Linked DNA regions of Mus musculus. Each later gene encodes a partner of the first gene's protein in a complex. Each region holds a gene or a part of one and is shown in the gene's direction. Other genes may lie near its edges. The genes, in order: Itgb1 and Fermt2.

Region 1 (6,717 bases):
TTGAAACTGAGCCAAAAATAAATCTTCTTTCTCCTAAGTTGCAATGTCAGGAAAAGTACTTAGTACAGACTTCTTGTACATATACTGTAGTGGAATACTACTATCATTCTTTGACCTGCAGGATCCTGATCAGGACATTGATTATGTATTTGCCTAAGTCACATTTTATTTTAATCATCATTACTTAAAAACATTTTTTAGGTTTACTTATTTTTTATATGCACATTTTGCCTGTATGAATACATGCATATGTGCACCGTGTATGTACCTGGTGCCTGCAGAGGTCAGAAGTTATCAGATCCCTTGGAACTGAAGTATGGTTATGAGCTGACATATGTTAGGAGTTGAACCTGGGTCCTCGTAAAAGCAGCAAGTGCTCTTAACTTCTAAGTCATCTCTAGCCCCTCGTCGTTACTCCTACTGTGGGGAGCTTGTAAGAGGCTCTCTTCTTAAACTTAGGAGTCCATGTCACTGCTGGTTTTTCTCAGTTCCTTCCATTGCTTCCAATTTCCTTTTTGTGTTTTCTTCCTTTCATCCTTCTGCAAATTTAGGTAAGACTTGGTTTTCCTCTCATCATCATTGGAAATCATCATTCAGCAATGACATAAGCTTTTCCGTTTAGCTCTGTACCTGTTCTCCAGCTGCCTGCCAGGAAGTCAGGGAAAAAAGATCGTTTTTCATCTAAGCAGACCTTCCATTTTCTCCCATGTTTGTGTTTTATTTTGTGGTACTGGAGATAGAATTTAGGATCTCTCATGTGCTGGGCAAATGCTCTACCACTAAGCTGCCTTCCAGCTCTGTGCTTTTTAAGTAAGTAACATGTAACAACTTTTACCTCTCTCGCCTTCCTCATTTTTCAGTTTAGGCTTCATCTTTTTTTCTTGATCTTTTTGTAATTATGGCTTCACCTCTGTAACTTCCTTTTACAACTCTAAAGTAAAACTAGATCGTTACTCACCTTTGTGTAGCAGTGCCTTTACACAGAGAACATTTCACTCTTAACTTTAATCTCTACCTGTCTAGAATGTACCTTTCATTCTGCCAAAACTCATGGTGTTCTGATTTTCTCATAAGTTTTTGTGTAAATCACCTTGTGGTTACAGTAACAACTACTTGAAATACATGTAAAAAGAAAAGCTTATTTTGGGCCATAGTTTTAGAAGTTTTCATCTGACGGAGTGGCCTGTTGCTCTGAGCTTGTGGTGATGTGAGATGTCATGGTGGGGCATCTGGGAGATAAGACAGAAAGGAGGTCCCATAGACTCCAGGGCACATCACTGGTAACCCAAACCTCCTGCTAGTCCTTACCTCTCAAACTTCCCACTGCCTCCTGAAAGTACCAACACATGGGCAGATCCAAACTGTAGCAGAATTATTTGTATTTTGTGGGTTGCTGGAGAGGGCATTGCCTTCATCATTTTTGCCTCCTTAGGTCTTGGAGTTGTAAATGGTTGGTTAAACGAAATCAAGTGTGCCTGTTGAGGCGCTAACAAAATTCTTAGATTTGGAAAAAATATACACTTAAGACTATATCATTGAACATGTAAATTGGACTTACTTTTTTTCTCATTTTATTTTGATTACTGGCCATCTAATTTCAGTTTTGAATCTTGTTAATTAGGAGAACCACAGAAGTTTACATTAAAATTCAAGAGGGCTGAAGATTACCCTATTGATCTCTACTACCTTATGGATCTCTCCTACTCTATGAAAGATGATCTGGAGAATGTGAAAAGTCTTGGAACGGATTTGATGAATGAAATGAGGAGGATTACTTCAGACTTCCGCATTGGTAGGAATGTTGGGAACATTTTGTGTGTGTGTGTGTTGAGGGGTGGTTCTGCATGTGTGCAGAGCAGGCTATTGAGTGTCTTATGTTATCACTTTGTGTCTCATTTCTGTGAGACACAGTTTATCACTTACCTAGGTTTGTGGCCTATAATTTCCTGTCTTTTCCTGCAGCAGTGCTGGGGTGCAAGGTGTGTATGTGCACGCCTGGCCTTTTACCTGGCTGCTAGGATCTGAACTTATCCTCACGCTAATGCAGCAGGAGCTCTTCCCACAGTGCAGTCCCTGCAGCCTCCATACTGGGCTTTAGAAAAAGATGTGCATTTAGAGTTGGTGAGAGATGGCTCAGGGGATAAGGGTCCTGCCTTTAAGTGTGATGACTGAGCTCAGTCTCCAAAATCAGTTCCTGCTTGTCCTTTGACCTCCAGACATGCATTGTGGTATATGTGTGCACATCCTTCACCCAAATAAATAAGTAAATATCAATTTAAAAGTGATGTAAGTTTGTTGGTCTCTTCCCACTCATCTATCCAAGTACATTCTTTTCTTTAGGCTTTGGCTCATTTGTGGAGAAAACTGTGATGCCGTATATTAGCACAACCCCAGCAAAGCTAAGAAATCCTTGTACAAGTGAACAAAACTGCACCAGCCCATTTAGCTACAAAAATGTGCTTAGTCTTACTGACAGAGGAGAGTTTTTCAATGAACTTGTTGGTCAGCAACGCATATCTGGAAACTTGGATTCTCCAGAAGGTGGCTTTGATGCAATCATGCAGGTTGCGGTTTGTGGAGTAAGTGATTTATTTCTACAGGGGACTGTTAGCATTGTCTGTGGGGATTTATTTTAAGTGTTTTTAATAAAAGTTAGAACAAAAGGACCATAGCTACTATAAGATTACCCCGAGGAGCACTGATGTCAGTTCTTACGTTCCCACTGCTGCTTTCTCGGGTGTCTGTAATCATTGCATCTCTGTCTGAGCCAGAAAGGGAGTTCACACCTAAGGAGTGTGAAAGGCCAGCATGCTGTTTATTTGAAACAGTGGAACACAGATAGACTTCAGCCGGTTTAGGATTTTGGAAGAGGCTGAGGTTTTCAAACTTTGTGGCTCTGTACTAGAGATGTAACTGATGTTATCTGAGGTGTCTCTAGGAGCTCTGAACATGCCATGTGGAATTGTGTCTCATACCATGTTCCTCGGGTCAGTTTTCTATTTTAATAATAAAAGGAAAGAACTTTCAAAGCCCTGATTGATGAGCTATATGACAACTTTTTGTAATAAAAGTAGTAATAGAATATTTTTGGTTAAATTGTATTGTTTCTAAGGATAGTAAGCCTTGTTCTGTTGCACTAGGGACCAGTGTTTATGATCCATGGGTATTTCTGATTGATTTTTTTTTTTCCTGTTTTGAGAAATGGTCTTGCTGTGTGGCCCAGCCTATCCTTGAACTTGTAGAGATGTTTTTGCCTTTACCTGAGTACTGGCATTCCAGGTGTGCTCCACCATACCAGACCCTCAATGATCTTTTAATGAGAACTGAGGCTGAGAGTAGAAAACATTGTTAGGTCAATAAGGTTAGTCTGGAGAAAGTATAAAGCGTTGTTTTTGTGGAGGGAGGATTTTCCTGTCCTTTCTTGCTCCTAGGCAGGTGACTTTGTATCTTTAGAGCTGCGCCTTTTAGAAAAATTAACAACAGACAGCCCACAGGACAGTGGTAAGGACCGTTGCAGTGATCTGTATGAAGTACACATAGACACTCAATATATACTCACCACTGTTCTTATTTTTGACTTGCTACTGTAGTGCTCATAATTTAAAAAATAGTACTTCAGTATAATTGGCCTTAGCCTTCCTTATTCTCTGAAAAGCACTCTCCCCACTCCCTACTTCTACCCCAGTCACTGTGTGGAGAACATTTTCTAGGCTGCCTCTGCTTTAACCAGCAGGCAAACTGACCCTATAGTCCCGACCACCCATTTTCGGCTATGCTGCCTTTCTGAATTTGTCATACTTTAGAGCAAAGGAGCAAGTAACCTGTCTTTGAAAGATGATTAGAATCAAGAAAGTTAATTTCTATCTTCAATGAATTTACAAACATGTGTTGTTACTTTAAATTTAGAAAATAAATGTAATTAATTACATAATAGAAGAGGGTTTTCACATTGCTTAAATTCTTTGTTGAGTAAGCTAGTGAAATTACAAATGAACTGATTTCATGAGCTAGAATGTAGGGATTTAAAGTACAGAAAGATCTTTGATGATTTTTCTTACAGTAAGAAAATGAAACTAGTAGGTATGGTGGTGCATGTCTAAAATCTCAGTATTTAGGAGTTAGGAGCAGGGAAATTAAAAGTTCAAGCCTATCCTTAACTAAACAGTAAGTTTGAGGCTAGCATGAATTGCATAAAAGGCTGCTTCAAAAAAGTAAAGCCTAGTGTAGAAGAGAGCTGATAAGGTTTAATAGGGGTATACAGAAGTGTGGGTAGGAACAGGAGTCAGGATTGAGTCTCTATGTATTCAACATAGACTCAGTACCCCTGCTGAAAAGCAGACTCTGAATTGAGGCCAGTATGAAGAAGCTATAAAGTTCTGGAGGACCATCTCTGCACTGACAGCAACATTAGCCTTGGGACAAGAAAGACAATGATACAGAATTAGGTTAAAAGTGCAGTTGCAGCTTGACAACCTGAAAGCATTTATGTTGAGTTATTATGGGCAGTGTCTGCAGTTGACTTCTTTCTTTTAAAGTCGCTGATTGGCTGGAGGAATGTAACACGACTGCTGGTGTTTTCCACGGATGCTGGGTTTCACTTTGCTGGAGATGGGAAACTTGGTGGTATTGTTTTACCCAATGATGGACAATGTCACCTGGAAAATAATGTATATACAATGAGCCATTACTATGTAAGTACTTAGGCCTGCCTAGTGAGTGAGTTTTGGTGATTTTAGTGTAATCCTGAGCATGTGGGAGGGCAGGGTTTGCAGCTTTCTTGTTTTGGTTAGTGTGGGCCCTGATGATGGCTGGGAAAGCTGCATTGCTGCTTGTAAAGCTCTTGGCAATGTGCTATTCTGTCTGGGTGGTGGGAATGCTGAGATCCATCTGGTTCCTCACTTGAATACATCATTTGTCAGTCTTGCTGGTCATATTTCTAAATGTGCAATTTTTAACTAGGCTTACCCTCTATATCTTATGACTTAAAAATACACACTCTGGCTTTCATTGAAAGCAAATATAGGCAAATCACTCAGGTTCTAGAAGAAATCTAGTATTGGTGAATCTTAGTCTTAAGTGCTAGATAATGGGAACCTTTAGTTCTGGTTCCTTAATTTCACAGTCCTCACATTTAAAGTACATAGATTGTCTTGCTTTTGAAACCTCTTAAAATGGGACTGGAGAGATGTTCAGTAGTTAAGAGCACTTGGCAACTCTTCCAGAGGACCTGGGTTCAATTCCCAGCAGCCACATGGATGTTCACACCTTTCTGTAACTATCTAGTTCCAGGGTTTCAGATACTCTCACACAGATATACATGCAGACAAAATACCAATGAATATAAAAATAAATTATTAAAAAATGCCTTAAAAAATAGAAGTTCTTAAACATAGAAAAGAGAGACACGTGACCCAGCTTAGCACTTATTTGCATTTGATATTCTTTCTTGAAAGCAGTCTGTGTGAGTGCTCTGATTATGAATGCTTATTGACTCAAATACTGTACTCTTAGCAATTGAGAGTAAACCTGGACTATAGAGTGAGACCCAAACAAAATAAACAAAGCCTCATCATTGATTGCAATGTATTTATATACTAAATTGTATTACTTTATTCCTTAGGATTATCCTTCAATTGCTCACCTTGTTCAGAAACTAAGTGAAAATAATATTCAGACGATTTTTGCAGTTACTGAAGAGTTCCAACCTGTTTACAAGGTAATACAAAGAATGAAAGTTCTATATTTTTCCTATTGTTTAGTCATTAGTAGCTGAATTATATTTTTGGAATGTAAGAAAATGCCACAAGGCATTATGTTCAGTAGCTAGACTGAATTTGACAACCGTCATTTATGTTCATTTTAGTTGTGTATTATTAGGATTGTTATTTTAAGTTTGCCTTTGAAAGATACTTAGGAAATGAGGTGTCAAAATACTACTTTTCAGTGGATTTTAATTGGTTGAAAAAGTAATATTTATGTTTTACATATTTAATTTCAGGAATTGAAGAATTTGATTCCTAAGTCAGCAGTGGGCACACTGTCTGGAAACTCTAGTAATGTGATCCAGCTAATCATCGATGCCTACAACGTGAGTGCTTTAAATGCTGTCAGCTTCATGTCATGCCTTAAATAAAACACCCTTTATACACCTCAGCAAGCTGAAGAAACTATGCAAAACGTGAATTTAAATTCCATGGCTGGAGGAAAACTTGATATCATTATAATCTTTGAAAGCACAGTGTAAGCAGAGCAGTGGTATTTAGATAAAGGCATGTGCATAATTTCCAAACTTGTTTATGTGTCATTAGGCCACATATCTCCTCGTTGGAACACAACTGACATTTTGATGTATACAGGTTTTATTTTATCTTCTTTTTCTTCCCTAAAGCCACTTTTATCGATCCATCTTTTTAAGTTTTATTTATTTTTTCTTTTGGAGATTTTTTTTTTTTATGTTGCCCTGACAGTCTTGGAATTCACTATGTAGACCAAGCTGGCTTTGAATGCACAGAGATCTACCTGCGTCTGCCTCTCAAGTGCTGGGATGAAAGCTTTGCATCTGGCTAGCTTTCATCATTTTGATGAATGATGCCTGACATTTCTTACTTTTCTCGTTTTTCGCAAGAGACTCAGAGGACACACTTTTCTGTTTTTAGTAGTAGTTACACACTGTCATGAATGTACATACATAGGTATATCATTCAGGAACTGAAACTA
Region 2 (6,104 bases), on another chromosome or scaffold:
CTTAGCTCCCAGGGCCCTGGATGGCAACCTTTTGTTTCTCCTTCCAGGAAAAAGGATGCAAAAAGCAGATGGTAATTGAAGGCCTGCTGCCTTTGTGCAAATAGAGGACCAGTGTGGCCAGCAAGCTCACAGGCAGCCCTCAGCTCTCTCTGAGGAGAGTGCGTGTGTCCTGTCATCTGACTAAATCGGAAAAGGCTACATAGGCTTTTGACTAGTAACTGTTATTTCGCTACTAAAATACTTAGCTTTACCCTCACTGTAAGACACGTGAGGGAGAAGGAGGGGTTTGCCCTTTGCATTGTCTTCTGTGAGCTTCTGTCTTTAATCTGAGTGACACTTGCTGCAGTGTGGCGCCTCTGCTGTAGCCACATAGACAGCGATGGCCGCTTGCTGTCCCCATTCTCATCCTTCCTTGCGTTTCATTTTCACCTGAGTGCCCTTTCTTTCTGCATGGTTTTCTGCTGGAATTTGGGGTTGCAGGTACCATAGCCTTTTCTTTGCTTCATTGCCATTTCCTGATCGCCTCTTTTTTTTTCCCCCCTTTCTGCTTCCTTTTTCTTTCCTCGCATTGCCATCTACAGCCAGGCTGTGTAAGAGATTTGGTAAGTTCTCTATATGTACAGAGGGAAGGAAAGTAGACACTGAGCAGCCGTAGTCCTAGCCATCTGTCCCCCACCATGGGGGATTCACCCTAAAGCAAGTACTGGTAAATGCAACCAGAGCGGTCCTGTTTGGTTGCCATGGAAACGTGATGCTCTGCCTCCTGGTGTTCTGGTTTGCACTGCAGAACTCCAGCCGGCACCTCTGTAGCCATCTGGATGTGTTACTGTGCCATTCATTGCCCACCAGGATCTCTCGGTCCTGGCAGCTCTACACTAGAATCCCAATAATGCCTTGTGTGTGGTACATAAAAACTGAAATTAACATTGGTGCTTTGTTGGGATTCCCAAATGAAGCATTAGATAATTTTTAATTCCAATTCAGCATAATGCTATGGTTGCACATCATTTTTTAATTTTTTTAATAAAAGATAATAATGTCTGGTTATTTAATGAAACATTTAAAATTCTGTTTAGATAACAGCACGGATCTTGGAGGCCCATCAAAATGTAGCCCAGATGAGCCTGATTGAAGCCAAGATGAGATTCATTCAAGCCTGGCAGTCTCTGCCTGAGTTCGGCATCACACACTTCATTGCGAGGTCAGTGCGCTGCTGTGGTCTGTGTGTTCAGTTTGTCCGCCTCGTTGGCTTAGATCTTCACCATTGAAGGCAGGGCTGCTTAGACTACACTAACCTCTTCTACACCAAAACTTAATGCTATTATTATGTCTTATAATAGTTGCATTGTTTTTAGGGTTAGAGAAAATCCCTTCCCCCGTTCTGAGTGGTGTTTCTTCAATATTACAGGTTTCAAGGCGGCAAGAGAGAAGAACTTATTGGAATTGCATACAACAGGTTGATTCGGATGGACGCCAGCACAGGTGACGCCATCAAAACCTGGCGGTTCAGCAACATGAAGCAGTGGAATGTCAACTGGGAGATCAAGATGGTGAGCTAGCACGAACGCCCCTCAGGTGTCACTCAGTGCAGATAGCCTGAGGGCGTAGTTCAGGGTCTGGGTTTGATCCCCAGGACTAAGACAAAAGGTAGATTTTGAAGATTGGATTTTGTGACATGATTTGGTTGTGGTATTTGGCACCCCATTAACTGCTAAGGCTGCTTAGGTTATCAGGCTAGTGAAGTTTAGTGTCTGCTCTCTCCTCTCATACTGGGTGGAGCAGACGGCATTTCCTGATGAAGAAAGACAGCCTTCCTTCTGCCAAGGCTGTCCGAGTAGCTCTGTTCCCATGCTAGAATCTTCAAGTAAGCTTTTAAAGGCCACCATTGGATAGCCAAGCTGTAAGACCCTATCCCCATCCCAGTGAGACCCTGCATAGGGTAGTCTATTTACAGATAATCAGAGTAGAGATGGCTCCAAAGCTGAGAGCTGTTGTTACTCCTCCAGAGAACTAAGGTTCATGTTAGCACCCACAGGCATGGAGGTTCACAACCTCCTGCAACTCTTATTTCCTGGGAATCTGATACTCTCATCTGGCCTTGCAGACATACATGCAGACACAACACATGTACTCGTAAAATACATACATACATATGTATGTATATATATATGTGTGTGTATGTGTGTGTGTGTATGTATACATATATATACAGAGAGAGAGAGAGAGAGAGAGAGAGAGAGAGAGAGAGAGAGAGAGAGAGAGAATAGCCTGGGCTACAAAATACAGAAGACTCTCTAAAAATATGGATAGTAAAAAATAATCTTTAAAGTGCAGACCATGTGGTTGGTTACTCATTTCTCACTTGAACTTACCATCCATACTTAAGGATATCTTTCTGTAACAGCTTCTCGAAACAGCAGTCAGAGGTTATGTCCTGTGCCTCCTCTATGGGGTCAGACATGACACTAGACGTTTGCACTTACACTGGCCTCTATGCCTCACCTCAGCCTTCTAAAGCAGGCAGGTTGCCTGGACTTCACAAATGAGGACGCTCCCACTTAGAAGCCTAAGGGCTGCTTAGTGTCCACGCCCACACACTTGATGACTGCCGCAGCAGGGTCTGTAAAACCTGGTGCGCATCCCACTATGTAGCTTGGTGCCCTTTTCTTTGTTACATTGTGATCATATAAAACCGGCTCACTGGCAGGCGATTTTGCTTGGCATATATTGGATACACTGTATTCAGCTGCTATCAGAAATACACATCGGGGGCTGGTGAGATGGCTCAGTGGGTAAGAGTACCCGACTGCTCTTCCAAAGGTCCGGAGTTCAAATCCCAGCAACCACATGGTGGCTCACAACCATCCGTAACGAAATCTGACGCCCTCTTCTGGTGTGTCTGAAGACAGCTACAGTGTACTTACATATAATAAATAAATAAATCTTTAAAAAAAAAAAGAAATACACATCGTTCTGAAATATTTAAGCTTGATACCTAAAGACTACATATTGAAGCGAATGTTAAATAAGACTCAAGAAGTAAGTTTTCTCCCAGGACCTAAAGAGGGCCATTCTCATTAATTGCATCACTAGAGACCACTCGGGACCTTAACGACGTAAACGCCTTGAGAACTTGCAAACGAAAGGGATGTGGGGATGATACACTTTTCTTACTGTTTAGACCTATGACATCACTGACATGATGGCTGTTCCCACGTCCCTGCGGGGTGGAGTACCATAACTTAAAGTCCGGAAGCTTCCGGGGAACTGACAGTTCTTTGTCTTTGCTCCAGGTCACTGTAGAGTTTGCAGATGAGGTCCGGTTGTCCTTCATCTGTACCGAAGTAGACTGCAAGGTGGTCCACGAATTCATTGGTGGTTACATATTTCTCTCAACTCGTGCGAAAGACCAAAATGAAAGTTTAGATGAGGAGATGTTCTACAAACTCACCAGTGGTTGGGTGTGAATAGGAAAACTTGTAATAAAACTCCACAGCCATAACAATATTTAACTTTAAAGCTATTGTTTCTTATATGCTGCTTAATAAAGTAAGCTTGAACTTTATTATTTTATCATGATACCTTTTTGCCTTACCAGACCAGTACATATGTGCACTAACAAGCACGATTGTTAATCTGCTGCCTACCTTGATATGCCGTATGTGGACTGTGGAATTCCCAACAGTCCTTAGGGCCACGGAAAGCTGTCACTGACTGACAGTAACCAAACTAAGAAACAAGCCATCTACCAAGCCACCCAGGGCATACATATAACCTATATGAAGTCTATTTATCATGTGTAATGCATGTGTTTGTGTTTAATTGATGCCTTCTTTTAAAGTACCCTGCTCCTGGTACCCAGTTAATCCCCTCTCCCAGTATAAAGTCGGTCTACAGTGGATGCTTGGTATTTGTTGATGCTGTTGACCTTGAAGGAAACACTGCTAACCTGTTGTTATTGGGTGGGTTTTGTCTTTGAGTAAGCATGCTGTACATTGTTTTGTGTTTAGTTTTACACCAAACTGTATTACAGTACTCTTAGTATTCACCAGCATACTCACTATCTGCCTAAGATATGCAGCCTTTGTGTTACAATATGAAGTAAAGATCTATGAAGTATTCATTTTGTGTAACTAATGTACAAACACAAATTTTATAAAATTGTACAGTTTTTTTTAAAAAAAACTATTCACAACTAGGAAATGGCTTAAATGTAGCATCCTTACATTAATTAAGTGCTTTTAAAATATATAATTAATTTGCAGTTTCAGTATCTGCTAAATTACGAATGACTTCATGATGCTCGTGACTTGCCGTGATGCCCTTAACTACAGCCTGGACCGGCTGTGTTCTAGTCTGTTGCGCTATTACATCTGCGTTGGTGCTAGTTAGACAATTCCTAGCTCACGAGCCCAGAAGGGCGCCAGGGAGGGGTGGACTTACCAGTATTGTCCAATAATCCATGAATTAAAGACTGTATAAATGCATTTTATTTTAAATAAAAGTAAAACCTTTTATTTAATGTTTTCTTTTGTACTTCTGATCTCTCTCAACTCTCCCAACACTGTGTGTTATTAGAACAGCCCGCCAGTGCTAGGCCATGTCCCAGATGAAGAGCTCTCTCTCTCTAGGAGACATCCTTTCTCCGGCATTGAGAGACCTTTGTGGTTATTCAGTTAGACTCCAGACTTTCATCATGGGCCTGGCTGCCACCTCTGTCAGTCCCGTGCCTGTGAGGCCAAGACAGCTTCTAAAAACCCAGCTCTGCTCACCTCTTCTGTCTCCCACCACCACTGCTTGCCCTGCCTGCTGAGCCCTGGTGTAGCACTGCCCTGGTTACCTAAAGCTCTGATGACTGTGCCCTGTGCTACAGAAGCTCAGGCTCCAGGTCCTCTGAGCTGGGGCATCTCCCTGGGGCCCATTTGTCCTTAAGCAGTCTGGACAGCCACATTCTCTAGGCCAGTGGTTCTCAACCTTCCTAATGCTGCAATACAGTTCCTCATGTTATCCCCAACCATAAAATTATTTTCTTTGCTGCTTCATAACTGTAGTGTTCTACTGCTATGAATAATAATATAAACATCTGTATTTTCCCGTAGTCTTAGGCATCCCCTGTGAGAGGGGGGTCAGGACCCACAGGTTGAGAACTGCTGGTCTAGCCATTCATCCCATTGCCATATTATTTACTAGCCCTATACCCTGTCCTCTGTCCAAATCTATGTCTCCCTTTAGAAATTTTAGTTTATAGCTGTTCTTCCATAAATACTTCTAAGTTTCCTTGCAGCCAAGCAGACTCTGCCTTCTCTGAACAGATGGCTGCATTTAATGGGAACCAAGGCAAAGCTAGACTGTGACCTGGCTTCGCACCTCTGTCCAGTCATATGGGAAGCAAGCCTTGGTAACCCTCACACCTGTCGCCAGCAGCCTCTATCAAGAAAGCGTTTTGCAAGAACACTGTCTAGGACTCCCAGAACCTGCATTCGAGTTTCTGTTCCCTGTGATTGTTCACAAGGGCATGGGAACAGGATATTAACCAAACTCCATCCAAATGTTGTTCTTCTCAGGCAGCAGGCTAGTGGCCTGTTAGAAGCTTCTGGTGTAGTATTGCCAACTCCACATAAACTAGTTTTCTTTGTAACCTTGAGAGATATTTTCCATTCTTTTGGTTTTTGGTTTTTTTGGTTTTGGTTTTTTCGAGACATGGTTTCTCTGTGTAGCCCTGGCTGTCCTGGAACCCACTTTGTAGACCAGGCTGGCCTCGAACTCAGAAATCCGCCTGCCTCTGCCTCTGCCTCCCAAGTGCTGGGATTAAAGGCGTTCGCCACCACGCCCGGTACAACATTTTCCATTCTTATCTCTCCAATGTCATACATTCAAGCGGCAAAGACAGGGCAGACTGTTCTGTTCTGTGTTGTCTAGTTGCGATTTGTGCCTTATTAAAAGGTTTTGAAATCAGTAGTGATAAAGAAGAATGAGGCCAGCCTGGGTTCTTGGCCCTTAGCTGAAAGACACCAATGCTCTGTATTTTAAAGTCAACACTAGCAGTAGTGAACACAGTAGCAAACCAGTTTTTTCAGCGTCTCTGTACTATATCTGTATCCAAG

What was found.
Region 2: the proteins of Itgb1 (region 1) and Fermt2 are in contact, whole or in part, in a crystal structure (PDB 8TEE), measured with the Mus musculus proteins. Residues at the interface, in NP_034708.1 of Mus musculus: Ala786, Val787, Thr788, Thr789, Val790, Val791, Asn792, Pro793, Tyr795, Glu796, Gly797; in NP_666166.2 of Mus musculus: Phe609, Ser610, Asn611, Met612, Lys613, Gln614, Trp615, Asn616, Val617, Asn618, Trp619, Glu620, Ala629 (codon at 3,309), Asp630 (codon at 3,312), His647 (codon at 3,363), Ile654 (codon at 3,384), Ser657 (codon at 3,393), Thr658 (codon at 3,396), Lys674 (codon at 3,444), Leu675 (codon at 3,447), Ser677 (codon at 3,453), Gly678 (codon at 3,456).

The regions. Positions count from the first base shown.
Region 1 is NC_000074.6:128,711,587-128,718,303, forward strand, and holds part of Itgb1 (integrin beta-1 precursor), read left to right. Parts: intron 1-1,621; coding exon 1,622-1,792; intron 1,793-2,340; coding exon 2,341-2,579; intron 2,580-4,535; coding exon 4,536-4,691; intron 4,692-5,620; coding exon 5,621-5,716; intron 5,717-5,998; coding exon 5,999-6,088; intron 6,089-6,717.
Region 2 is NC_000080.6:45,457,213-45,463,316, reverse strand, and holds the end of Fermt2 (fermitin family homolog 2), read left to right. Parts: intron 1-581; coding exon of another isoform or gene 582-602; intron 603-1,076; coding exon 1,077-1,201; intron 1,202-1,408; coding exon 1,409-1,550; intron 1,551-3,293; coding exon 3,294-3,467; 3' UTR 3,468-4,525; downstream 4,526-6,104. UniProt on the Homo sapiens protein: Scaffolding protein that enhances integrin activation mediated by TLN1 and/or TLN2, but activates integrins only weakly by itself. Binds to membranes enriched in phosphoinositides.